Rattus norvegicus: one gene and its partners. The protein of the gene in region 7 interacts with the protein of the main gene of each other region in a biochemical or structural test. Links are inferred from orthologs where the notes say so. Each region holds a gene or a part of one and is shown on either strand. Other genes may lie near its edges. The genes, in order: Trim21, Tnfrsf1a, Nfkbib, Nfkbia, Map3k1, Map3k14 and Ikbkb.

Evidence for each region.
Region 1: of the proteins of Ikbkb (region 7) and Trim21, one has a biochemical effect on the other in vitro, tested with the Homo sapiens proteins (2 studies listed by BioGRID). The link is inferred for Rattus norvegicus from reciprocal best matches to the Homo sapiens genes IKBKB and TRIM21.
Region 2: of the proteins of Ikbkb (region 7) and Tnfrsf1a, one has a biochemical effect on the other in vitro, tested with the Homo sapiens proteins (2 studies listed by BioGRID, with this or other methods). The link is inferred for Rattus norvegicus from reciprocal best matches to the Homo sapiens genes IKBKB and TNFRSF1A.
Region 3: of the proteins of Ikbkb (region 7) and Nfkbib, one has a biochemical effect on the other in vitro, tested with the Homo sapiens proteins (2 studies listed by BioGRID). The link is inferred for Rattus norvegicus from reciprocal best matches to the Homo sapiens genes IKBKB and NFKBIB.
Region 4: of the proteins of Ikbkb (region 7) and Nfkbia, one has a biochemical effect on the other in vitro, tested with the Homo sapiens proteins (58 studies listed by BioGRID and IntAct, with this or other methods). The link is inferred for Rattus norvegicus from reciprocal best matches to the Homo sapiens genes IKBKB and NFKBIA.
Region 5: of the proteins of Ikbkb (region 7) and Map3k1, one has a biochemical effect on the other in vitro, tested with the Homo sapiens proteins (3 studies listed by BioGRID and IntAct). The link is inferred for Rattus norvegicus from reciprocal best matches to the Homo sapiens genes IKBKB and MAP3K1.
Region 6: of the proteins of Ikbkb (region 7) and Map3k14, one has a biochemical effect on the other in vitro, tested with the Homo sapiens proteins (3 studies listed by BioGRID and IntAct, with this or other methods). The link is inferred for Rattus norvegicus from reciprocal best matches to the Homo sapiens genes IKBKB and MAP3K14.

What each region holds. Positions count from the first base shown.
Region 1 is NC_086019.1:166,396,572-166,400,832, forward strand, and holds the start of Trim21 (E3 ubiquitin-protein ligase TRIM21), read right to left. Parts: upstream 2,801-4,261; 5' UTR 2,738-2,800; intron 1-2,737. UniProt on the Homo sapiens protein: E3 ubiquitin-protein ligase whose activity is dependent on E2 enzymes, UBE2D1, UBE2D2, UBE2E1 and UBE2E2.
Region 2 is NC_086022.1:159,843,619-159,847,118, reverse strand, and holds part of Tnfrsf1a (tumor necrosis factor receptor superfamily member 1A precursor), read right to left. Parts: intron 2,699-3,500; coding exon 2,545-2,698; intron 2,383-2,544; coding exon 2,254-2,382; intron 1,952-2,253; coding exon 1,802-1,951; intron 1,610-1,801; coding exon 1,531-1,609; intron 1,502-1,530; exon of another isoform or gene 1-1,501.
Region 3 is NC_086019.1:93,175,853-93,178,387, reverse strand, and holds part of Nfkbib (NF-kappa-B inhibitor beta), read left to right. Parts: intron 1-1,745; coding exon 1,746-1,851; intron 1,852-1,934; coding exon 1,935-2,268; intron 2,269-2,535. UniProt on the Homo sapiens protein: Inhibits NF-kappa-B by complexing with and trapping it in the cytoplasm.
Region 4 is NC_086024.1:78,594,273-78,598,373, forward strand, and holds the start of Nfkbia (NF-kappa-B inhibitor alpha), read right to left. Parts: upstream 2,801-4,101; 5' UTR 2,682-2,800; coding exon 2,455-2,681; intron 1,946-2,454; coding exon 1,837-1,945; intron 1,506-1,836; coding exon 1,295-1,505; intron 1,025-1,294; coding exon 936-1,024; intron 843-935; coding exon 582-842; coding exon of another isoform or gene 495-581; exon of another isoform or gene 122-494; coding exon 74-121; 3' UTR 1-73. UniProt on the Homo sapiens protein: Inhibits the activity of dimeric NF-kappa-B/REL complexes by trapping REL (RELA/p65 and NFKB1/p50) dimers in the cytoplasm by masking their nuclear localization signals.
Region 5 is NC_086020.1:45,096,019-45,099,518, reverse strand, and holds part of Map3k1 (mitogen-activated protein kinase kinase kinase 1), read left to right. Parts: intron 1-2,918; coding exon 2,919-3,197; intron 3,198-3,500. UniProt on the Homo sapiens protein: Component of a protein kinase signal transduction cascade. Activates the ERK and JNK kinase pathways by phosphorylation of MAP2K1 and MAP2K4. May phosphorylate the MAPK8/JNK1 kinase.
Region 6 is NC_086028.1:88,688,093-88,691,592, forward strand, and holds part of Map3k14 (mitogen-activated protein kinase kinase kinase 14), read right to left. Parts: intron 1,325-3,500; 5' UTR 1,306-1,324; coding exon 1,050-1,305; intron 3-1,049; coding exon 1-2.
Region 7 is NC_086034.1:76,067,031-76,070,530, forward strand, and holds part of Ikbkb (inhibitor of nuclear factor kappa-B kinase subunit beta), read left to right. Parts: intron 1-597; coding exon 598-647; intron 648-744; coding exon 745-844; intron 845-1,020; coding exon 1,021-1,168; intron 1,169-3,500.

The DNA of each region.
Region 1 (4,261 bases), on a different chromosome or scaffold from region 7:
GAGTTAGACAGAACAATTTGCAAATTCATTTGGAATAACAAAAGACCCAGGATAGCAAAAACTATCCTCAACAATAAAAGGACTTCAGGGGGAATCACCATCCCTGACCTCAAGCAGTATTACAGAGCAATGGTGATAAAAAGTATATGGTATTGGTACAGAGACAGACAGATAGACCAGTGGAATAGAATTGAAGACCCAGAAATGAACCCACACACCTATGGGCACTTGATTTTTGACAAAGGAACCAAAACCATCCAATGGAAAAAAGATAGCATTTTCAGCAAATGATGCTGGTTCAACTGGAGGTCCTCATGTAGAAGAACACAAATTGATCCACTCTTATTGCCCTGTACAAAGCTCAAGTCCAAGTGAACCAGGAACCTCCACATAAAATAAGATGCACGCAAACTAAGAGAAGAAAAAGTGGGGAAGAGTCTCGAACACATGGGCACTGGAAAAAATTTCCTGAACAAAACACCAATGGCTTATGCTCTAAGATCAAGAATCAACAAATGCGACCTCATAAAACTGCAAAGCTTCTGTAAGGCAAAGGACACTGTCATTAGGACAAAATGGCAACCAACAGATTGGGAAAGATCTTTACCAATCCTACATCTGATAGAGGGCTAATATTCAATATATACAAAGAACTCAAGTAGTGAGACTCTAGCGAACCACATAACCCTATCAAAAATGGGGTTCAGAGCTAAACAAAGAATTCTCAACTGAGGAATACCAAATGGCTGAGAAGCACCTAAAGAAATGTTCAACATCCTTAGTCATCAGGGAAATGCAAATCAAAACAACCCTGAGATTACATCTCACACCAGTCAGAATGGCTAAGATCAAAAACTCAGGTGACAATAGATGCTGGCGAGGATGTGGAGAAAGAGGAACACTCTTCCATTGTTGGTGAGATTTCAAGCTATTACAACCATTTTGGAAATCAGTCTGGAGGTTCCTCAGAAAACTGTCATAGTACTACCTGAGGACCCAGCTATACCACTCCTGGGTATACACCCAAAAGATTTTTCAACATATAACAAGGACACATGCTTCATTATGTTCATAGCGGCCTTATTTATAACAGCCTGAAGCTGGAAAGAACCCAGATGCCCTTCAACAGAGGAATGGATACAGAAAATGTGGTACATCTACACAATGGAATACTACTCAGCTATCAAAAACAATGACTTCATGAAATTCATAGGCAAATAGATTGGACTAGAAAATATCATCCTGAATGAGGTAAGTCAATCAGTAAAAACATACATGGTATGCAGTCATTGATAAGTGGATATTAGCCCAAACCTTGGGTTACCTAAGATACAATCCACAGATCACATTAAGCTCAAGAAGGACGACCAAAGTGCAGATGCTTCAGTCCTTCTTAGAAGAAGGAACACAAATATTAATAGGAGGAAATATATAGACAAAGTTTGGAGCAGAGACTGAAGGAAAGGCCATCCAGAGACTGCCCCACCTGGGCATCCAGACCATATATACATACAGCTACCAACCCTAGACAATATTGCTGATGCCAAGAAGTGCATGCTGACAGGAACCTGAAATAGCTGTCTCCTGAGAGGCTCTGCCAGAGCATGACAAATACAGAGGCAGATGCTCACAGCCAACCATTGAACTGAGAGTGGGGTCCCCTTTGGAGGAGTTAGAGAAAGGATGGAAGGAGCTGAAGGGGCTTGCAACCCCATAGGAAGAACAATATCAACCAACCAGAGCTCCCAGGGACTAAACCACCACCCAAAGAGTACACATGGACAGACCCATTGCTCTAGCTGCATAAGTAGCAGAGGATGGCCTTTTGGGGCACCAATGGGAGGGGAAGCCCTTGGTCCTGCCAAGAATTGACATCACAGTGTAGGAAATGTCTGGGCAGGCGGGTGGTAAGGGGTGGGCGGGGGAACACCATCATAGAAGAAGGGGGAGGGGAGGTGGAATAGGGGGTTTATGGAAGAGAAAACAGGAAAGAGATAACATTTGAAATAAAAATAAAAAAAAATCCAATAAAAAAACTTCAAGATGTGCATTCATTATCCTGAGTACATCATCTAAGAGTATATTTCCCAGTTATTAGGCTTGTGTGTGTGTGTGTGTGTGTCAGACACACACACACACACACACACACACACACACACACACACAAATTGATGTCTTTATTTACCCTGATATGTTCCATTGTAAGCTACACTTGAGCACAAATGCATCAATGTAGGCATGCCCATACGTTCCTCTATCTAAATGTCTATGTACAGAATATGTATGTATGCTCATCTATTGACATTTGTGGGGAGCACTCCCTGGGCTCTTCTCTAAGCTCCTCCAAGCCTAGTACTTCTCTCAACTTCCTTTAGGGTGCTGAGTATCTTAAACCCACTGAAATTTCTAAGTGGCTAGCACTCTCCTCAATCGAGGGTCTTCAAGGGGCTGGGGTTTCCCCGAGTTCCCCCCTCCCCTCTCCCTCCCGGACTAGGTCACCGCCCTGCTTCTCCTGCTCATGGCACTAGGAAAGTCAATTTCAGAGACCAGCTTTCACAGGGAAGCACGGGCAGCCTGGCAGGGTTGGGACTAGAGAACTCCGCTGAAGAGAAGCAGCAGGTGGGCTAGGAAATTCCGTGTGTAGGGCGCTAGTGGGAAGCGGCTCCTTGAATCTGTGGCATTGGGGTGGGGTGGGGGGAGCCCATCTAGTCTGGCCAGGGGTCCCATCCTCACTCACCTTACCAGGGTCCTCAGACTTGGCTAGGCTGTTTTCAGCTTCACTTTTGCAAGCCCGCAGTCTAATTTCACTTTCAGTTTCCTCTCAGAGGTAAGCTTAGAAGGAAGAGGGAGGAGCAAGGGGAGGAACAGGGAGTTGACTGGCAAGCCTTGGAGGCAGATAGGGCGGAGACTGGGCAGAGAGTGGGAGGAGAGTGGTCAGAGGTGCCAGAAACTGACTTCAGGCCACAGGCAAAGGAAAACTCAGTTAATGTCTTCTTGGGTGCAGTCTCTCTAAGGCCTCCTTGTCACCTTTAACAGACTGTAATCTACAGGATATCGACCTTTGACACTGGTCTTTACTTCAAACCTGGGAGCATCTGGGAGAAGAGGTCTGGATGGGAGAGGAGTTACTATCTTTTCTAGAGGGATCTTCCCACAAGACTGATAGTTCTTTAAAATCCGGGTGAAAGATCCTGGCACTGTTTTTGTTAACATATATTAATTGCACAGTATGCTTGACATATGCCCATTTCCCATCCCTCTGTCTTCTCGTTTTGCTCCCCTCTTTTCAAATAGTCTAGGGTGAGAAATTTATTCCTAATGATGTTAGGGTATGTGTTGTAGCAATGAAGGGAGACTTGTGGACATTGATTGTATTATAATTTGCGCTAAAACCATCAGGTGAATTTTCCTTGCCATTTATCATATTTAGGAAATAAAAGCATTCCGTGCTTTGAAATTTCCAGCCCTGTTTAAGAGATCCTTCTCAGTAAAAGGTCACCAGGCGACATCTACTGTCTAGATTGTGCTGTTGTATTGGGACTTGATTCCAGGAACACAACAGCTCCAGGAAGCAGAATGAAAAACAGAGTCAAGCATCTGAAAGGACAAAGGCATCTGCAAACATCAGAAAATGATTCTGCTTCACACCACTGAAGATCTGTCGCTATTTCCTGCAGGCAAAGAACTTGGGTCCCAAAATAAGGTAGTGGTAGAGTCAATGTCTATTTTTCTATTTACCACTAGATGACGCCTTATCTGTTTCAGTTTACACACTGGATAGAGAGATTAATACACACCCTAGGGTTGTGGTGATAAATACTCTATAATGTGCACACAGGATGACCAATGTAATATACTCATAGCTGCCTCAGCTCCCACCTTGGTAATTATCTGAAGACCCAAACTCCTGAAGAACAAAATCTCCTTCACTCTCAGCTAGTACTTTGATATCTCAACCCTCCTTCCCCTGGGCGAAATGACTCAAGTATTTATTTGGGAAGAGTTAATGTCATTGATAGGACTGTCTAGTACATTATCAGTGTTTTGGTGAAGTGAGATATTTATGCTTTGGGTTTTAGTCAGGCTTTACTAACTTGAATGTGTTTCAGTAACCCAAGTTGTCTCAGTGGTACCCAAGTCCACTCTGTCCAGGACAGGAAAAGCATTCTTTACTCATTTCTAACTTAGTGACCTAAGAAGCCCCAAAGATACAGAAGTAGAAGGAGGACAGCTGGGAACAGGAAAGGACCAATGGGTGTGG
Region 2 (3,500 bases), on a different chromosome or scaffold from region 7:
CCAGCCTGGTCTACCTAGTGAGTCCCAGGCCAGCCAAGGCTAACCAGTGAGACCCTGAGTAAAGACAAATAAAATAAAACAAAATGGGGCTGGAGAGATGGCTCAGTGGTTAAGAGCATCGACTGCTCTTCCAGAGGTCCTGAGTTCAAATCCCACAACCACATGGTGGCTCACGACCATCTGTAATGGGGATACGATGCCCTCTTCTGGTGTGTCTGAAGATACCTACAGTGTACTCATATATAATAAATAAATAAATATTTATTTATTTATTTATTTCTCTTGGCCTCTCAGCTGCTACAAGGTGAGCTACTTTGCTTGCACAGTATGCTCTGATCATGATGTCCTGCTTCAGCACCGGCTCAAAAGCAGCAATGCCAAATACTGTGAATTGATGAAACCAGGAGGCAAAATAAGCCGGTCTTTGCTTTAAGCTGATTCAGTCACAGGTCCAGAAAGAGGACTCATACAAGAAGCTGGAGGGCCTCCCATCCGATAACACTGCTGTTTACAGCACTTGATTTTGGATATGACCGGTCACGGGGGCATGAGAGATTTTAGGATGTCTATCACTGGGGCAGCCATTGAGAGCTGTCGTGGGGGGTTGGGGAGGAGAGAGATGAGAAAACTACACTGCGTGGGGGTAGGGGGACGACAGAGGAATGTGATCTCAGCAGAAGTCTGCAAACAGGGAAAGGAGATTTTTGTCTTCCTCATGAGCTCGGGATAGAACACATAGGATTGGGCACATGAGCTCTTCTGAGTTGAAACTGAGTAGGAAAAAAAATAGAAAGTAGACAGCGTTGGCTCAGACAGTATTATAGATCGTTGGTCTAGCCGTCTGTTTTGGAGATCCAACCCAATGCCTCCAATAGGCTAGGCCAGTGCTCTACCATTGACCCAAAGTACTTCCACCCTGACTCTCCTTACCCTAAAAGTTAATAAACATTAGGTGTGGGGATGTAGGAATTTGCCCAAGGTTGCAGAGCCAGGAAATGGGTAGGTTGGGATTTAACCCCAGGTCAGTTCAACTATGAGAGTCTCAGAGTTTCTTCCTCTGGAAGCAAATGTATGAGAACAGCCCATGTGGAGGCACAGGAATGAGGAAGTCTGTCAGGGAGGCTGGGAAGGAATCACCAGCAATAGGGTGGCAGACACACCAGACCTAAGACACCATCAATAGAGAGCCGTGGAGAACAGTGTGCGCATATTCTAACTGCCCAGCACTGAAGAGGCATGCACGCTATGCCCTGTATGTGGAGGTCTGAGGATGACTTTGTGGAGCTGATAGTCTCTCCTTTCACCTTTACACGGGCTCCAGAGATTGAACTCAGGGTGCCAGACTTTTGCTGCAAGCACTTTACCCACTTGCCTGTACCCTAACATTCTGGAGAAACAGAAAGGACAATCTGATGTCTTGCTGTACTGTCTTCTCATCCAGTTGTAGGATACTTCCTTTAATCCTGCTTGGAGCCTCTCAGCCACAGCTGTTCATCCACCCTGGTCCCCAAGCACTTGGCAGATACTCACTGGCTGCAAGGGGTGCACTCATTTCCGCTTAGAAAGAATCCTGCGTGGCAGTTACACACGGTGTTCTGTTTCTCCTTACCTGTGAGAAAACAGTGAGACTAAGAGAGTGTGCCTGCAGTCTGAGGACACGAGGGAGGGAGAAGGGCAGGATGCAGGCACCACATAGGAGCTCATACCCACAGAGGAGTAGAAAAGCAGCTCCCTCATGGGGAGGAGGGAAGGAGGAGATGGGGTTGGGGGAGAGGCCTGGACTTGAGTGAGTGGTGCTCACAGGGGATTGTCACGGTGCCATTGAAGCAGGGGCTGCAGTCCACACACTGGAAATGCGTCTCACTCAGGTAGCGCTGGAATTGGTTCTTCTTGCAGCCACACACGGTGTCCATGTCAGCTTTGCAAGGAGAAATCTCCACCTGGAACATTTCTGAAGAGGGAAGGAAACGGTATATGAGTCTCGCACCGCTTTTCCCACACACATCTTGACGCCCCAGCTCGCCACGTGCATTTGTCTTCGTGACACAGACAGTCCCACACACACACGCCCAGGTTTGTAAGTGCATGCATGTTCCCGCCACACCCACGGGCAGATTCGAACCCCGACCCCTGGCAAACATCCATGGACACACACACACACACACACACACACACACACACACACACACATGTTCACGCGCGCCTTCTCGCACCGTGCACCTTCTAGAACCCTTGCCCAATCCTAAGGCTTGCCTTTCCGACATGTCTTGCAACTGAGACACTGTCTGACGTGGTTCTGCGAAGCTGTAAAGGTGCCTTTATCACACACCTCGCAGACTGTTTCCTGCCCTGGGCTTGGACAGTCACTCACCAAGTAGGTTCCTGTGGATGGGGTCAGGATTAGTCTGTAGTTGAGAGCTGAAGAGCAAAGCCCAACTCCGGGGGAAACAGCAAAGTAAGGGGACTCCCATGGACAAGGTCTGGGAACGTCAGAAACAAGCAAAAGGAACCTCACGAGGACTCTCTGCCCCCATTGTCTCCTACCTTTGTGGCACTTGGTGCAGCAGATGGAATTATTCTTTGGATGGGCATACTTTCCCTGGGGACACAAATTATCCCTCTTCTCCCGGTCACCAAGAGAAGGAACCAGTCCGGTGACCCCTGACGGGTGTATCCCCATCAGCAGAGCCAGGAGCACCTGAAGGAACAATCGGAAAGAGGAAATTCTGTCAGGGATAGGGTGAGGCCTTAGAGGCAACAACAAACTGGATACACACACACACACACACCGCCAAGTTTACATCCTCCCGGGGAACATTGTCCCTAAGATGGTGGCTGCTGTGTAGTCCAGTGTTTTCCTGGTCTCTGGTGGTTCTGTATGCTAGCAACGGTCTCTACAACTGAGCAGTTAGGTCTCAGGCCCCAGCTGCATTTCATCCTGTTCAGTTCCCTGAAGCAGCTCACAAGGCTGACCACGGCGGGGGAGGGGGGGACACTGGTCAAGGAATGTTTAGGCTTGTTTGCAGGGCTGAGGGTGGAGCTCCTGGTCTCACACAGAAGCACTGAGGTGCCCTCTGCCCTGCCGAGAAATGTAGCCAGAAGGAGGAAAACAAGGCTGTTTCGGATATGGCCTGGTTTTCCCGCAGACAGACTGACAGACAGACAGACAGCGGCGCCTTTGGCATTTCTCTATCTGGCTGCGGGTTTCACACTGTGCCTGTTTGTGGACACTTCCTAGAAGTGAGCAAACCTCTCTGGATTCCATTACAGTAATTAGAAAAGTATGTTGTGGGGAGGGGGTTAAGTTATAGGGAGGACTGTCGTGAAGATAGTTCGGGAAAGTGCTGCTATGCGACCTGAGGACCTGAGATCAAGCTCCATCGCCTACATAAAAAGCCAAGCATAGCAGCATAGGTTTATAATCCCAGTAATGGAGAAGAGCAAGGCAGGTCCCTGACGCTCTCTAGAGAACCTGAGATTGACCTCTGACCTCCATCCAC
Region 3 (2,535 bases), on a different chromosome or scaffold from region 7:
GAATTGAACTCAAGACCTCTGGAAGAGCAATCAGTGCTCTTAACTGCTGAGCCATCCCTCCTACCCTAGCCTTAAACTCTTGGCCTTCCTGCCTGGGATTCCAGGCAAGGTGGTGCAAGGCTGGTTTCTGCAGAGTTGGGGTTGAGCCTTATGTGTGCTAAGCTAGCACTCCCAAGTAAGCCACTGCCTAGCTCACCTTTCTTCTTTTCTTTTTTTTTGTTTTTTGTTTTTTCTTTTTCTTTTTTTCGGAGCTGGGGACCGAACCCAGGGCCTTGTGCTTGCTAGGCAAGCGCTCTACTACTGAGCTAAATCCCCAACCCACCTTTCTTCTTTTCTAATGTGCTCGGAATGCTGTACATATTTCCTCTGGAGAACTTCTGATAGACTGTGTTTTGTTTTTAGCATAATTGAGTATATTTTTTAATTTCTCTTTTGATTTCTCCTTCAGCCAGTAGGTAATAAAGAAGTACATTCATTTTCCACACTTGGAGGACTTTCCAGACCTCTTTCTGTCACCGGCTTTAAATTTCATTTCACTGAGGGCAGAGAACATGCTTTGTCTGATTTGCGGTCTCTGGTTTTTTTCTAGCGGTGCTGGCCATCAAACCCAGGGCCTCCTGAGTGTTAGGCAAGGGCTCTCAGGAACTGTGTCCCACAGATTTCATTCTGATGATGCGTGACTTAGAGGTAATGTTGGTTAGCAGTGTTGTTCAAAGCTGGGTGTGTAATTCCAGCCACAAAGAAGACGGAGACAGGAGGAGTTCAAGGTTAGGGCCTGCCTAGGAAGAGAGTAAATTCAAGGCCAGCCTGGGGACATTCATAGCAAGGCCCTGTTTCACAATAAAGGGAACCAACAGGAGGAAACTCGGTGGCACAGAGCTTCCCTGCATGCCCGCTACCTTAGATTCAGTCCACACAACTGCAGAGTCAAGGCGGCCGCTCCTGAAGAACGGTGCCTTTCAAGTTGACTCTGTTCCTGTTTTTCTGTTTATTCAAACAGTTGGTGACAGAGACCTATTGAGATCACCAGTCTATGGATCCATCTGTTGCTACTTCTCCTTGTTATTAGATCTGTGTGCATGTATGTGTGTGTGTGCGTGTGTGTGTGTGTGTGTGTGTGTGTGGTATGAGTGATGTGTGTGTATATATGGTGTGTGTGTGTGCGTGGTGTGTGTGTGTTGTGTGTGTGGTGTATGTGATGTGTGTGTGTATATGGTGTGTGTGGTGTGTATGTGTGGTGTATGTGTCTGTGTGTGTGTGGTGTGTTTCTGTGTCTATGTGTTTCTGTGTGTGTGTGTGTGTGTGTGTGTGTGTGTGTGTGTGTGATAGAATCTCATTATTTAGCATTTAACACTGCTGGTTTAGAACTCACCATGTAGTTCAGTCTGGCCTTGAACTAACAATCCTCCTACTTTAGTTTTCCCACGTACTAGCATTAGAGCTATTACACCTGATTATATTACTCAGTAAATACTGGTGAAACAAAGTCGGTAGCTGGGGCCTATTTGCACAGGCTTGTCAACCTTGCCACTCAGGAAGCTGAGGCAGGAGGGACTTGAACTCAAGGTCAGTGTGGGCAACTTATGAAGACCATCTTATCTCAGAACACCAACCCCGTCAGACAAAGTTTCTGGATTACCTTCTGCCCCCTGACTCTCCCAAACACTGAAATGTTTCCAACTGTGGCCACAGTTTGCAGCACATAGAAGACACTCTGTGTTACTGACCTTTGCCTTTGTCCCCAGAGCCCTGCACTTGGCCGTGATACATCAGCACGAGCCCTTCCTGGATTTCCTCCTGGGCTTCTCTGCCGGCACTGAGTACCTGGACTTGCAGAACGACCTAGGCCAAGTGAGCCACTGGGGATGTTTGCTGTAGGGAGCCGGGTCCAGCATTGTCAGTGTGGCCCTAACCCCTTCCCTCTATCCCTGTAGACAGCCCTGCACCTAGCAGCCATCCTTGGAGAGGCATCTACAGTAGAGAAACTCTATGCAGCTGGCGCAGGAGTGTTGGTGACTGAGAGAGGGGGCCACACAGCACTGCACTTGGCCTGCCGTGTGAGGGCACACACGTGTGCATATGTACTGCTTCAGCCCCGTCCCAGCCACCCAAGAGATGCCTCAGATACCTACCTCACTCAGAGCCAGGACCACACCCCAGACACCAGCCATGCCCCTGTTGCCACGGACCCCCAACCCAACCCAGGGAACGAAGAGGAGCTGCGTGATGAAGATTGGAGGCTGCAGCTAGAAGCTGAAAACTATGATGGTGAGGGCCCCGGGCCCCAGGGAGGATGTGAGCTCCTGGCTCCTCTCGCCCAGCCTGAGATGCAGCTGATGCCCTTGGACATAGCTCAGTTGGTGGGGTGCTCATCTGGCATATGTAAAGCCCTAGGTTCGATCCCCAGCGTAAACAGTATGGTGGTGTATGCCTATAATACCCTGTGTTGGGAACAAGAGGAGGAATTTAAGGTCATCCTGGTGCTACTTAGCTAGCTTGAGGCCAGGCTAGGTTACAGGAGACTGAAACAGATAC
Region 4 (4,101 bases), on a different chromosome or scaffold from region 7:
TTTTTTTTTTTTAGAAAAATAAAACTCTATTTGTACAAATATACAAGTCCACGTTCCTTTGGCCACTTTCCTCTTATAACGTCAGACGCTGGCCTCCAAACACACAGTCATCGTAGGGCAACTGGAACAAGAGAGGGAAAAAGGCACATTAGATTCCTAGAACTTCGCCAAGCCATTGGGATGGCGGGAGAGCTGCTTCTACAAATAACTCCCATTCCTGGACTCTCTCCTCCTCAGCCTAAACAGAACGCAGGCGCCGGGCTGCAGGAGTTCCCTTCACCAATTCTCTCCTTTCAAAAGTCTAAGCTATTGCAGGGGACATAGCTCAATGGTAGAACATGTGCCTATTACCACGTGTTAAAGCCTGGGTTCAATTCCCACAACTCCCTCTTACTGCCCCATTCCGAAACCCACAAGGGTAAGCTATTAAAGCAAACCAGAGACACGTTCTTGGGATCCTGGCTTTGCAAGCTGAGACTGAGAAGTTGAATAACTCAGGTCCCTATGATACAGAACAGCTCTAGAACAGACCTAGGTGTGGTGAGGGAGAATGGACCACTCTGGCAGTAATGAACACGCACCTCATCTTCCGTGAATTCTGACTCCGTGTCATAGCTCTCCTCATCCTCACTCTCGGGCAGCGTCTGAAGATTTTCCAGGGTCAGCTGGCCCAGCTGCTGCTGTATCCGGGTACTTGGGCGGCCCCACGTAAGCTGGTAGGGGGAGTAGCCCTGGTAGGTTACTCTGTTGACATCAGCCCCACACTTCAACAGGAGCGAGACCAGGTCAGGATTCTGCAGGTCCACTGCAAGGTGGAGGGCTGTCCGGCCATTACAGGGCTCCTGAAACCAAAGGCAATCAGAAGTGTTTATCTGGAAATCTGCTCACAGTAAGAGCCAGCCCAGCAGAGTTTAGGAGGAAGGGGAAGTACTCACCTGAGCGTTGACATCAGCACCCAAAGTCACCAAGTGCTCCACGATGCCCAGGTAGCCATGGATAGAGGCTAAGTGTAGACACGTGTGGCCTGCAGGATATAAGACGGAACTGTAACCACTTGTTTCAATCCTCACACAAGTCACGTCTCCTTTCTTGGGGACAACCACAAACAACCTCAATTTTGAAGAACTCAAAAGTCTGGGTTCTCAGTGAACGTCATGTAGGAATCATGGAGAAGACTTTTTAAAAGTCCACACTGCCTGAACTTCTTATACGTTGAGGCGTTTTAGCTCCAGGCTAGACTCAAGGGGACCCGTCTCTCCCTTCTCTGCGTCCCTGGATGGACTGGCAGACCTACCGTTGTAGTTGGTGGCCTGCAGGACGGAGTGGAGATGCTGGGGCGTACAGGTCTGAGTCAAGACTGCTACACTGGCCAGGCAGCCCTGCTCACAGGCAAGATGGAGAGGGGTATTTCCTCGAAAGTCTCGGAGCTCAGGATCACAGCCAGCTTTCAGAAGTGCCTCAGCAATTCCTGGCTGGTTGGTGATCACAGCCAAGTGGAGTGGAGTCTACGAATGGAAGAGGAAACAGAAAGAGCCTAAGCCATGGAGCAAACCCATAGTCTTGAGTTTCCTGAACCCCAGACACCTCCTATTACAGAATCCCCTCCTCCCATTTGTCTACAGGAGATCAGGCAAACAGGAGGCCCTACGTGGGTCATAAAGACCTCAACCAACCCTTGGGATTTTCCTTCTTGCTCTAAGACTTTGGCTAATTTGAATGTAAAAGGCCAGGGCAGATAAGGACCGTGACTGTTAATTTAGAAACGCTTTGGGGGCGACTGAGCTTCATCTAACTCCACCACGGGGTCAAAGAGGGCACAGCTGGGCAAGCCCGCACCTGCTGCAGGTTGTTCTGGAAGTTGAGGAAGGCCAGGTCTCCCTTCACCTGACCAATCACTTCCATGGTCAGTGTCTTCTCTTCATGGATGATTGCCAAGTGCAGGAACCTGCGGGATGACAGGGAAACCCCCCAGGGGTGGTGAGCGCACTGCGTGGGGCCCCCGAGAGGCGCGGGCTGCGGGGGATTGCGCAAGGCCGGGGTTTCTGGAGGCCGCGGCCGCGGTGTTTTCCGCGAGGTTATTATGAGCTGAGTGTTCCTGGCAGCCGCCCAGGGACTTTCCGTGCCCCACCCCCTCCGGGCGGGCGCCGGCCAGACCGGCCCGCCCTCCGCCGCCCGGAACGCCCTGTACTTCCCCTCGCGGCCGCGCAGCGCCCGGCGGCTGCGCGGAAACTCTGCCAGGCGGGGACTTTGCGTCCTCGTTGCCGCCCCGCCCCCGGCCTGCGCTCGGCTACTCCGGGTCCCGGGAAATGGGGTGGGGGGATGGGGAGGCAGGCGGCCCGGCGCCCGCAGCTCTGTAGCCCCGTAGCCCCGCAGCCCCGCCGTGCAGAGCCCCGAGCGCGGTGCAGGCCCCGCGCGACCCCGCCCGTGCCCATGCCCGAGCCCGCCGCCACTTACGAGTCTCCGTCCTCCGTGAGCTGTTGCTTCCAGGGCTCGGCAGCCAGAGGCGCCTCCTGCGGCTGCAGGCGGATCTCCCGCAGCTCCTTCACCATCTGCTCGTAATCCTCGTCCTTCATGGAGTCCAAGCCGCTGTCGTGGCGGTCGTCCACCAACCGCTCCTTCTTGAGGCCGTCCCGCGGGCCCTCCATGGCCCAGTCCTGGCCGTGCCCAGCTGGCTGAAACATGGCTGTGCGGAGCTGAGCGGGTGCAGGGTGCAGGCTGCTGGCAGTTGGGTGGCGAGTTCAGACTGTTGTGGGCTCGGCAGCGCCGCCTCGGCGCCCTATAAACGCTGGCAGGGGATTTCTCAGGGGCGGGGTCAGGCGCGGGGAATTTCCAAGCCAGTCAGACTAGAAAAAGAACTGGCTCGTCCTCGACTGAGAAGCCTAAACCCAGGGCCGGGGTTCATCAGAGAAACTCCCTACGATGAGCCACTGGGGTCATGTACAGGGAACTTTTTGATGAGCCCTGAGTGGCTGGAAAGTCCTCCCGACCAGGCCCCCTCCCTCTAGGTACTTCCCTGCAGCCTGCACTCAGTAACCCCAGCGTTCTACAAGAGCCCTTCTTTCCCTGGGGTTTCCCACCGACGACTTTGGTTTGGGGTCCCAAGCTGCTGAGATTCCAAGGACGCAAACCTGCTAGGCTGTTCCTCTTAGAGATTTGCCAATTTGCAGGTCCTTTCCGGTTCTTGATCTTTTGAAAACCCAAGAGTGGAAATGGCTGGCTGGGTGCAGGGATTCGCTTCTCCTAAATTTCTGCGACGACGGACGTATGAGTGATTCCGGGTCGTCTGTGTTTCAGGCTCTTTGCAGTGCATGGACATTTGGCTGCCCTTCACCATCCCCCCTCGAAGCTGTAGACACTTTGGCATTCAAACAAACAAAACCAATAACAACAACAACAAAATCCAAGCGCCTGGAGAACCCCTAGATTAATTCCGAGGGGTCAATAATCTCGCCCGGGGGAGGGGCAGCGGGGGAGGGGCAAAGTCTAGCTCCATATGGGAACCACATTTTCCCCCAAGTAATGCAAGGTGTTAATCTTTGTAGAAGTTGTAGCTTCCATGCAACAGAAACTGTTGAGTTCTTGCTGTTGGAGTTAACTTGTTAACTTGTAGAGAATAAAGCCGGAGCTTATTGTGAATGCCTAGCAGAACAACTGGTTTAGTGCCCTAGCCTCTTAAACATAGCTAAGAAAGTAACTTTGAAGCATCCTGCAGGAGGCTCAACATAGTCCTAACACTGACCACATCTGAAACCTGCTGGTTCTACTAGCTTCCTTGCTTCCCAGGGACCGCAGCATTGTGGGTGGCTACTCCTCAAGAAAGGGATTTGGGCCTGTGATCCCCTAGTTTTACCTGCAAAAGTAGAAGTGTTGCTTCCACCCCATCCCGACTTAGGAGCCTGCAAGTGTGAGGTAACTCGGGAAAATTAAAGCAACTTGGATCACAGTTTGTCAGAATAGACCCAGTAGGCTTCCTGTTCTGCATAGATTTCTGGTGAAATTTGAGTGATCTTTTTCTTGTTGAGCCTTGTAGCAACTCTCCTCTCTTCGTAATTCCACTGCCTCCCCCACAGTATGAAAGTGAGGACACTGGGGGAAAAGATT
Region 5 (3,500 bases), on a different chromosome or scaffold from region 7:
CTCCTGCTGGTTTACTCTTCTTATACATGTAAATACATCACAATTCGTCTTCTCCCCCAAAAGTGTGTAAAACATCTCTTATATCTAGAAGTTTTCATATATGTTGTCTTAGAATCAAGCTTACTTTTTAATAATTGGTCATGAGGTCAATACCATTTACGATTCTCCTGTAGAAGGTTTTGGGTCCTGGTGGGAGGGCTGTAACCACACTTACATTAACTCTGTTACATCCTTGTCCTTTGTTCATTTAAACAAAGCATTCTCTTTTTTTATCTTTATTAAATTGGGTATTTCTTATTTACATTTCAAATGTTATTCCCTTTCCCAGTTTCCAGGCAAACATCCCCCTAACCCCTACCCCTCCCCTTCTCTATCGGTGTTCCCCTCCCCATCCTCCCCCCATTACCGCACTCCCCCCAAGAATCCCATTCACTGGGGGTCCAGCCTTGGCAGGACCCAGGGCTTCCCCTTCCACTGGTGCTCTTACTAGGATATTCATTGCTACGTATGAGGTCAGAGCCCAGGGTCAGTCCATGTATAGTCTTTAGGTAGTGGCTTAGTCCCTGGAAGCTCTGGTTGGCTGGCATTGTTGTTCTTGTGGAGTCTCGAGCCCCTTCAGCTCCTTCAATTCTTTCTCTGATTCCTTCAACAAGGGTCCTATTCTCAGTTCAGTGGTTTGCTGCTGGCATTTGCCTCTGTATTTGCCATATTCTGGCTGTGTCTCTCAGGAGCGATCTACATCCGGTTCCTGTCAGCCTGCACTTCTTTGCTTCATCCATCTTATCTAGTTTGGTGGCTGTATATGTATGGGCCACGTGTTGGGCAGGCTCTGAATGGGTGTTCCTTCAGTCTCTGTACTAAACTTTGCCTCCCTATCCCTTCCTAAGGATATTCTTTTTTTTTTTTTTTTTTTTTTTTTTTTTGGTTCTATTTTTCGGAGCTGGGGACCGAACCCAGGGCCTTGCGCTTCCTAGGCAAGCGCTCTACCACTGAGCTAAATCCCCAACCCCCCTAAGGATATTCTTGTTCCCCTTTTAAAGAAGGAGTGAAGCATTCACATTTTGATCATCCATCTTGAGTTTCATGTGTTCTGTACATCTAGGGTAATTCAAGCATTTGGGCTAATAGCCACTTATCAATGAGTGCATACCATGTGTGTTTTTCTGTGACTGGGCTACCTCACTCAGGATGATATTTTCCAGTCCCATCCATTTGCCTATGAATTTCATAAAGTCATTGTTTTTGATAGCTGAGTAATATTCCATTGTGTAGATGTACCACATTTTCTGTATCCACTCCTCTTTAAACAAAGCATTCTTTAGTCTCACTTTTCTCTTCTGATCCCACCTGTTGATCCTTTTCCTACAAGCCAAAAATCATACAAATTTCTGTTTCTCTTAAGAAAAATATTCTGACTTGAAGCCTCCACACCGGTGGTGTCCTGTTTTCCTTGTTTTTTGTACAAAGCCATACTCCTTCTCTATAAAGTATTTTAATCGTGTATAAATATGGAGTTCTTTGCAGTTTGTTTTTTGTCTCTTGGTTTTAGTGTTTTGTTTTACAATTTATTTATTTTGTATATGTGAGTACACTGTGGCTGTCTTCACACACACCAGAAGAGGGCATCAGATCCCATTACAGATGGTTGTGAGCCACCATGTGGTTGCTGGGAATTGAACTCAGGACCTCTGGAAGAGCAGTCAGTGCTCTTAACCGCTGAGCCATCTCTCCAACCTGGGTTTTAGTGTTTTTAAACAAAACAAACTATGAAAATGAAGGTACCCAGTTATCAGAGTTTAGCCTCAGTTTTACTTATAAGCTATTCAGTGTTAGTAACTTCGCATGATCATTCCTTGAATTTGATGATAAGGTGTGTTCTATGTGTTGAAGTGACTAGCATTGCAAATTAAGTGCTGTCGTGCTTTAGTTACTTTTATTGTTTCTGTGACCAAATACCTGGCAAGAAGTAACCATGGAGGGAAGGATTTGTTTGAGCTTACAACCGAAGGCATGCAGCTAATCATAGCAGGGAAGGCACGGCAGCAGGACCTAGAGTAGCTGGTCACGGGGCATCCACAGACAGGAAACAAAGGGAAACGAGCTCATTTCTCATTATTCAGCCTGTGCTCAGCACATTTACGGTAGGTCCCCGCCTCAACTAATATAATCTGGAAAGGCCCCAGTAGACAATCCCAGAAGTTTCTAAGTCCCATGAATTTGGCAGTCAGGGAGTGGGGGTGTGGACCCCATTTCTCCGGATGCTGTTGGCCCTCAGCTTGAGGGGAGAAAAGGGAGCAGAGGCAGAGAGCAGCAGAGTTTGGACAGAATTGCCTCCAGAGTCTGCTACTTGGGAGGCTGAGACAGGAGGATTGCTTGAGTCCAGGTTCTGGGCTATTGCACACTCTACAGTTCAGATGTTCCACTAAGTTTGGATGTCCACACTAAGTCTGGCATCATAAGGGTTACCTAGCAGATAGTTCAGCTAGTCAAGAGTTTTCCTTTTAAGCGTAGGAGTCTGAGTTTAATGTCCAGAATCCTATAGAAAACTAGGTGTGTTGATGCACTGCAGTCCCAGCTCTGGAAAGGTGGACCCACAGGGCTCAGTGTCCAGCCAGCCTAGCCTAATTAGTGAGCCTAAAGAAGAGCCCATCTCAAACCAGAAAGAAAAGAGACGTGGACATCTCCCGGGAACAGCTCCTGAGGTTGACCTCTGCCCTCCACATGTACACATGTGCACCATGAGCCCACACAAGAATGTGTATGTATTATGTAATTCTTCATAGAAAAACGTTGACAATTAAAAGTATCTGTCAGATACAGTCAAGGCTTGAAAAGTGGCCATTTTTCTTTAATTGTGGGAAACTCGTTAATACAGCGTGGGTCGCTTACTTCTCCACACTTGTGTTTGCTCGATTCAGGCATTCGGAATGGAGCTCGTTGGCTGCTTATTCTCTAGAAACTGGAACGTAAGGGAGATGGCCCTTAGGCGCCTTTCCCACGATGTTAGCGGGGCCCTGTTGTTGGCGAACGGGGAGAGCACTGGAACTTCTGGAGGCGGCAGCGGAGGCAGCCTAAGTGCTGGCGCCGCCAGTGGGTCTTCCCAGCCCAGCATCTCAGGGGACGTGGTGGAGGCGTGCTGCAGCGTCCTGTCTATCGTGTGCGCTGACCCTGTCTACAAAGTGTACGTTGCTGCTTTAGTAAGTACTTTATTCCATACCCATCTCTTACGAGTTTCTTTCTTTGGTCTTTTGTAGGTATCAGTTATAAGAAGCAATGCATCTTTACCAAAATTTTTTTATACCATAGTCCTAAGAAGTTGCAGTATTCCATTTTGTCTGTCCATATAATTTTACTGATCTTAATGTGCTCCTGATTTCTTATACACTGTTTACTGTCTGCCGTCTACTAGTAATGTCTTGCTGTTCATATATTTTCTTGAATGAATGCATCACATATGGCCAAGTTAAAACTTCTTGATGGCTTGTATTGTAGTTCTGGGC
Region 6 (3,500 bases), on a different chromosome or scaffold from region 7:
ACCTGAGAATCAGGGAAAAGGGTCAGATTAGCGGGGATGGGGATGAGAACAAAGACAAAGTCAGCATTTAGGGGAGAGCCTTTTACAGACAGGCCTCAGTGGTCACTTTCTTTCTCTGCCATACTCCTCTGTCTGATGGCTCGCCTCCAGTCCACCATCTTCTCTCTCAATGGGGGCTACCCTGTACCCCGGTTTACCGGTGAAGAGAGGATTGTCTGTAAAGCGGGGATCATGTGGAGCCTGCCTGTCTCACTCACAGTGAAGCTTCCTTGAACATTCCGCACCCCACAGGGCAGTTAGCTTGACAAACAAGCTGGCATGTATTTCTGTTTACACGTATGTGTCTATATGTACATTCATTTCATTTTAGCTCATTTGCAGGGTTGTTTTCTTGTTTCTTCTCAGAAACCAAGAGAGAGGCCTCAGGAGGCAAAGCAGAGGATGCATATATACGGAAAGAAATGCCAGGTTCTCTGGGTTCTAGCCCAAGGTCTGGACTGGAGGATGGTGCTGACGGAGGGGAAAGGGCTCTGGTGCTACTGAGGTCCCCTGGGACTTCTTGTTTCCCAGGCAGCCACCAATATCTATCATTTGGAGGCAACAGGAGTAAAGTGGAGAAAGCCAGACTTGGCCTCCTGCTGAGGCTAGCAGTTCGGAGACCAAGACCTGCAAAGCAGAGGGTCTAGGAAACTTGGCCTCTCCTGTCTGGGTCTCTCCACATGCTCCCATTAAGTACCTCAGCAGAAGGTTAAGGGCCAGCTTGATTTTCCTGTAGAGTCCTTAAGCAATCTTGACTCTTGGCTGCCCCTGTTTGGGTCACGGTGACACAGTCTCTATTTGCTATATCCCCATGATCCACCCTAGTGTGTGTACAACTCCCACTTACACATTCTGGCCTAGATGCTCAGTTGTGTCTGGAGAGATGCTTCTAGAGCAGTCGCTCTGACCTTGCTCTCCCATGGGGACTCCAAGGCTGGCCTCTTGTGCCCAGCCACCCATCTGCAAGCCCACTCACTTGCCACTGAACCCACAGTACCCTGGGTCCTTACATTCAGCCTGGGCGATGATGGAGATGGCGGGGGGCCCGCCCTCGGAACCTTCCTTGGCTGTGCCTTTGGTGATCACATCGTTGAGGATCTCCCACTTCCCACAGAACACAGGGCTCTTCTCCACCGCCTCGAGCTGGAAGATGCAGCTCTGCTTCTTCCCTGGTGACTGTGTCTTCTCCTTGGCTTTGGCGAACTCCTTCTGCTGCCCGACTGCCGACCCAGGAGTGCCTGGGCAGGCCACTTCCATCACGGCCATCTCCTAGGCTTGTGCTCACCTTGACAGGGCCAAACACAGATTTGGTCATTCAAATCCTAGACCCTGTGTGGTCAGCCACAGGTTGAACATGCTTGGAGGGGAAGCATGCATGCGTGTGGGTATGTGTTTGTATGGGGGTCACATGAGAGGTTCTTGGTTCTTTATGGCAAGGATACTCATCCTCTAGACACCCTGAGTTACAGGTAAGGACACCAACCTTGAACTATTTACAAGCATTCCACTTGTGGGAGCACTGGTCTACTGGCGCTGTAGTATAAATAGACTCTTCTGGGGGCTGGAGAGATGGCTCAGTGGTTTAAAACACTGCTACTTTCCCAGAGGACCCAGGTTCAATTCCCAGCACCCACATGGTGGCTCACAACTGTCTATAATTCATTTCCAGGGGATCTGACACCCTTACACATACATATAAGGAGGCAAAACCAGTGCATGTAAAATAAAATAAATCATTTAAAAATGGATTCATCTGCTGGACCTTCAGAGAGATGGGAGTCATTTTCTTCAGTGGTGTAGCCACTGGTAAACTGCCTGTGCTCTAGTAAATAACCCCACACCACACTCATGCAAGTGACCCTAGTTAAACTCAATGTAATACAAGCACTCATACATGCACACACATGTGCATACACACTGACAGGCACATAAGAAGGGGAATGGGAGGGAGATAAGAGGAAACAGATGGTTCAGTAGTTAGAGCACTGGCTGCTTATGCAGAAAACATGGATTTGGTTCCTTGTACCCACATGGCAGCTCACAATATAACTCAAGTTCCAGGGATCCAATGCCCTTGTCTGGTCTGGCCTCCATGGACACTGCATATGTGTTGTATATCATACATAAAGGTAAACCTTTAGGTACACATTTTAAATTATTTTAAATGATGTTAAACTGTTATATGTTTTGGCTTTTTGATACAGGTATATATATTCCTGGCTGTCTTGGATCTCAGTCTGTAGACCAGGCTACCCTGAACACAAAGATCTGCCTATTTCTGCTTCCTGAGTGCTGGGATCAGAGGTGTGTGTTACGATCACCTGGCCTAAAAGTAAATAACTTAAAAAAAGAAGGTAATGGAGTGAATATTACAAAAATACATTATACATCTTTGATGATGGACAAAATCATCAAAGAGCAAAAAACAATATGTTTTAAAGAAGAGTCAGTCTTTCCTCCCCTGCAGACAGCAGCAACATGGAACTGGACTTTTCTCGTCCTACAGTGGCTAAAACTCTTCCTGTTGTGTGGAAAACTTCATTTCCCCTGGACAGGGAGGTAAATCTCATTCTCCAAAACCGTCCCCTCACAGACCCCAAGGACACCTTGCCTTCACAGAGAGCACATCTATTCTGTCCATGGTGGCTTTTCTCCAATGGAGAAAAGCAAGGTTTGGTTTTGTTCTTAGCAGGAATAAATATATGCACAGTTATATCACGATGCGGATGCATTCTGCAAATGTATTGCCAGAAGAGTTTAGCATTGTGCGAGTGTCACAGAATGCATTATGACATCACTGGGGAAAGGAAAGTCTTAGGGGGCCAGTGGTACATGCAGTCCATTGTTGGTGGAAACACTGTCATGAAATGCGTGGCTTTATATGAATATGTGTGTGCAGAAATGTCACAAAGCCTACTATTCAGCCTAAAAATGGGCTGAACACTTGGCTCCTTTCCCATGATGCAACAGTCTGTGGCTCTCTGGAAGGTTCTGAAAAAATGGCTTCCTCCTCAGATTTCCGAAACTCATTTGCTGCAAAAATCTAGGATTTCTTTCAGGCAATGATAGGAGGAGTGTCTATACTGGAGACCTTAATACCAACCAGTATTCTGCATGAAACCCCACCTTTCTCTGGGTTCCACATGGACCATGCTGAGCCTTCCCACGCACACAGCACAGCCATACGCGGCTGGAGAGCATGTCCACAGCAGAGACGTTAGCATCATTACAAAAAGAACAGGGCTAATCCCGCCTTCCAACATTGGAAGACTTTTTTTTTTCTTCCAGAACCAGTTTCTCTCTGTAGCTCTGGCTGTTCTGGAGCTCACTATGTAGACCAGGCTAGCCTCAAACTCAGAGATCAGCTTCCTTCTGCCTCCTGAGTGCTGGCATTAGAAGCATGTGTCACCATGCCTAGCTAGCATTGGGATTCTTCCTTCCTTCCTTCCTTCCTTCCTTCC
Region 7 (3,500 bases):
CAAAGAATTATCTGTTCTCCATCGTATCTTACATATTAACCCTCTCTCTTCCAGTTTCCAAATGAGAATCTTCACCTTGTGCGCATGTGGATGTGGATGTCCGTGTGTGCAGGTGTTGTTTCAAAACAGGGTCTCACTATTTAGCATTGAGAGACCTGGTACACAGTCAAGACTTGCCCCGATTCACAGAAATCCTACTACCTCAGCTTCCTGAGGGCTTGGGCTGTGTGTGCACAGCCAAGATCAGTTAGAGCCTCCTTCTGAGGCTGTTGCCAGCCCACCTGTGTTAGAGGAAGAGGCAGGCATTCACGTCTAGCTTTGGACTTAGGTTTTTGAGGGCAAGTATTTTCTTGGTCAGGTCCAGAAATGGCACCTCGAATGCCTCTCATAGCTAAGCAGAGGAGGAGTGTAATAATCTTTAAGCTTGTTCTTGTTTGGGGCATTTGGGTTTTATAACTATTCCCAAACTGGCAGTCTTTTCCCACTGAGAGCATGTGACCGGTCATCTGAAAAGTGGTGATTCTGCTGGCCGAGGTCAGCGGGCTGGTGCTGTAAACGTTCTTGCTGTGCCGTGACCATGGCCTTTTCTCTTTCCAGAGAGGAACAAGCAAGAGAACTCTACAGAAGACTCAGGGAGAAGCCAAGAGGTATGTGCTTCGGACCCCAGCCTCCATTTGTCTTGTCTGTGAGGCAGTGGTCTCCCCTGGAGGCCAGTAGGAGGAACGATACCATTCTCCTCTGCAGACCAAAGGACAGAAGGTGACAGCCAGGATATGGTACGGCTGCTGCTGCAAGCCATCCAGAGCTTCGAGAAGAAAGTGCGGGTGATTTACTCTCAGCTCAGGTGGGTGCTCCCTCTCCCCATCCAGGACCGGATGCAGAATCAACAAAGCCAAGGGGCAGGTGGATGCCCTTGCTCCTCGGCTGCGATCTGCCCGCACAATGAGGAACAGATCGTATTTAGAGCAGTGCTGTGCCGGCCCAGACCTCTCAGGCCTGTGGATCTTTCGTCCCTCACAGTAAGACCGTGGTTTGTAAGCAGAAGGCCCTGGAGCTGCTGCCCAAAGTAGAAGAGGTGGTGAGGCTCATGAACGAGGATGAGAAGACTGTGGTCCGGCTCCAGGAGAAGCGGCAGAAGGAGCTCTGGAACCTCCTGAAGATCGCCTGTGTGAGTGACTTATTCCGGCCTCTCAGGTCCCCTCCCTCAGCCGTGGCTGCTCTTTCAGCTCTGACCTGTGACATGGAGTGGTCAGGGAAGCTCCCTGAAGGGAGGCTTCAGCAATTACCTCAAAGAGCTGCAGACAGCAGCCATTGCTCTTTCAGAGCTTCAGATACCGGAAGTTAGGAATCCAGTTGTCAGCAAAATGGTGTCTCCTCTGATGGATCCAGGGCAAAGCCACCCCACCCCCACTACCCTCTCCAGCTTCAGTGGCTCAGGCCTCCTCATCCCGTCCGTGTCTGTCTTCTGTTGACATCAGTGTCTCATCCGAGTGTCTCTTATAAGACATTCTGGGGTAGAGATACATTTCAGCAGAAAGATGTTTGCCCCGTGCCTAAGGCCTTGGGTCCAGTCAGACCCTAGCAGCAGCACACACACAAACACACACACACACACACACACACACACACACACAGAGCTAAGCAGAAGGTTGCACACTTATTATCCCAGCACTTGCTGAGACAGGAGGATGATGAGTTTAGACCAGCCTAAGCAATGTCGAGACTCCTTTCAAGGTGTTAGTGGGCTGATAAGGAACTGGCATGGTGGCACATACCTGTGAGCCCAGCCCTTGGGGCTCTGGAGCAGAAAGTTCAGGGCTAGCTTGGACTACATAGTAAGGCCTACCTCAGATAACAAAATAAATCCAAAAAGAGCAAGAAAAGGAGATAGTTTATTACAGAAGCAGGAAACCAAAATGTTGCTTTGTGAAGATTCTAAGCCTGGAGCGTCTCCACAGGCCAAGCGGGAGGAGGCAGTGTCTTGCGAGGCTCACAGCAGCAAGCTCACACTTGTGCTCACTCTAGAGAACTCAGGGAAGTCAGAATCCAGAGCTTCACTGATGGATTTGCCTGGGGATGGGAGCTGGGGGATATGCCCTCCTGTAAGAAAGGGGAACCGAGGTAACACATGCTGGCTTGTTCTGCCACCTGCATTCACCGAGTGTCCAGTGTGAGAGCTGTGCTGTGTGGGGAGCTGGGTCTGGCATCCACCGTAACCCACCGAGGGCGCAGACGAGGACTTGAAAGAGAGCACCCTAGCCTGCTAAAGAAGCGTAAACTCGGGGCTGGGGATTTAGCTCAGTGGTAGAGCGCTTACCTAGGAAGCGCAAGGCCCTGGGTTCGGTCCCCAGCTCTGAAAAAAAGAACCAAAAAAAAAAAAAAAAAAGAAGAAGCGTAAACTCTGGTGTGCAGGGTGGCGGCCTGTGAATTCAGGGCAGGAACCCCAGCTTTCTCGGAAGTGAGGGAGTAACCAGAAAGGCTCCTGCGTGGGAGTCGGAGTGATGTGACCATGAGAATATTCCAGGAGAGCGCATGCTGTCTGCTGGTAAAGCTGGATTGGAGCAGTGCTTGTAGGGTTTCACTGGGGGCAAGACGGAATGGGGCTAGCACCGGCACCCCTTATTCTCATAGCACAAGAGGAAACACTGAAGGGTTCCCTCTTCCCAATCCCAGTGAAGGCACTTCAGGAGAAAACACTCGGGAGTGGCTGGAGACGGAATGCCACATTGTCAACCGTAGCACCAAGAGACAAAGGCGATGGGTGGAAGGAGTTGAGAACCCTGTGTGGAGCAGGCTAGCCCTTCCATATGAATTAAGCTTGCATGCCTGGTGTAGAGACAGAGGAAGCAGGCGTCCAGCTTTCTCCACAGGTGGTGCAGCAGACGGGTGAGGAACAGTACAAAAGCGCTTGCTTAAAAGGCTTGTTGAAGGTGGACCTTGGTGGTTAGCCAGGGTCGGGGAGGGGGAGGCAGAAAGGGACCCCAACCTGAGGGCTGAGATTAGGACCGTGCAGCTTCTGGCAACAGTGACGAGAGGATCAGGGACAGCGAAGAGTGTATGAGGCAACCCCACCAAGGAGAGGCCAGAGGCTCAACTGCAGAAGTGGCTAGAGGTGCTAAGGAACTGGCTGCAGGGCCTGGTCCCTGGCTGCACGCATGAGGAGGTGGCCAGCAGCCACAGCCTGGGTGGGCCTCTTGCTGGAGGAGGCTAGCTGTAGCAACCCTGGTCATCCAGACGCCTCAGTGTTCTTTCTGAGCTACACCACAGGTAGTGCAGTCGTTATTATCTCTGTGTACCTTGGCTTCCCACTTGGAAAAGTGAAAACACCTTCCTCTCCTTTAGGTTTGCTTTGTGTGTGTGTGTGTGTGTGTGTGTGTGTGTGTGTGTGTGTGTGTGTGTATTCAGGTGTGAGTGTGTGCACATGCGTGCATGTGTCCAGGTGTACCAGAGGCACTGGGTCCCCCAGGAGCTGGAGTTAAGCATTTGTGAGCCACCCACTG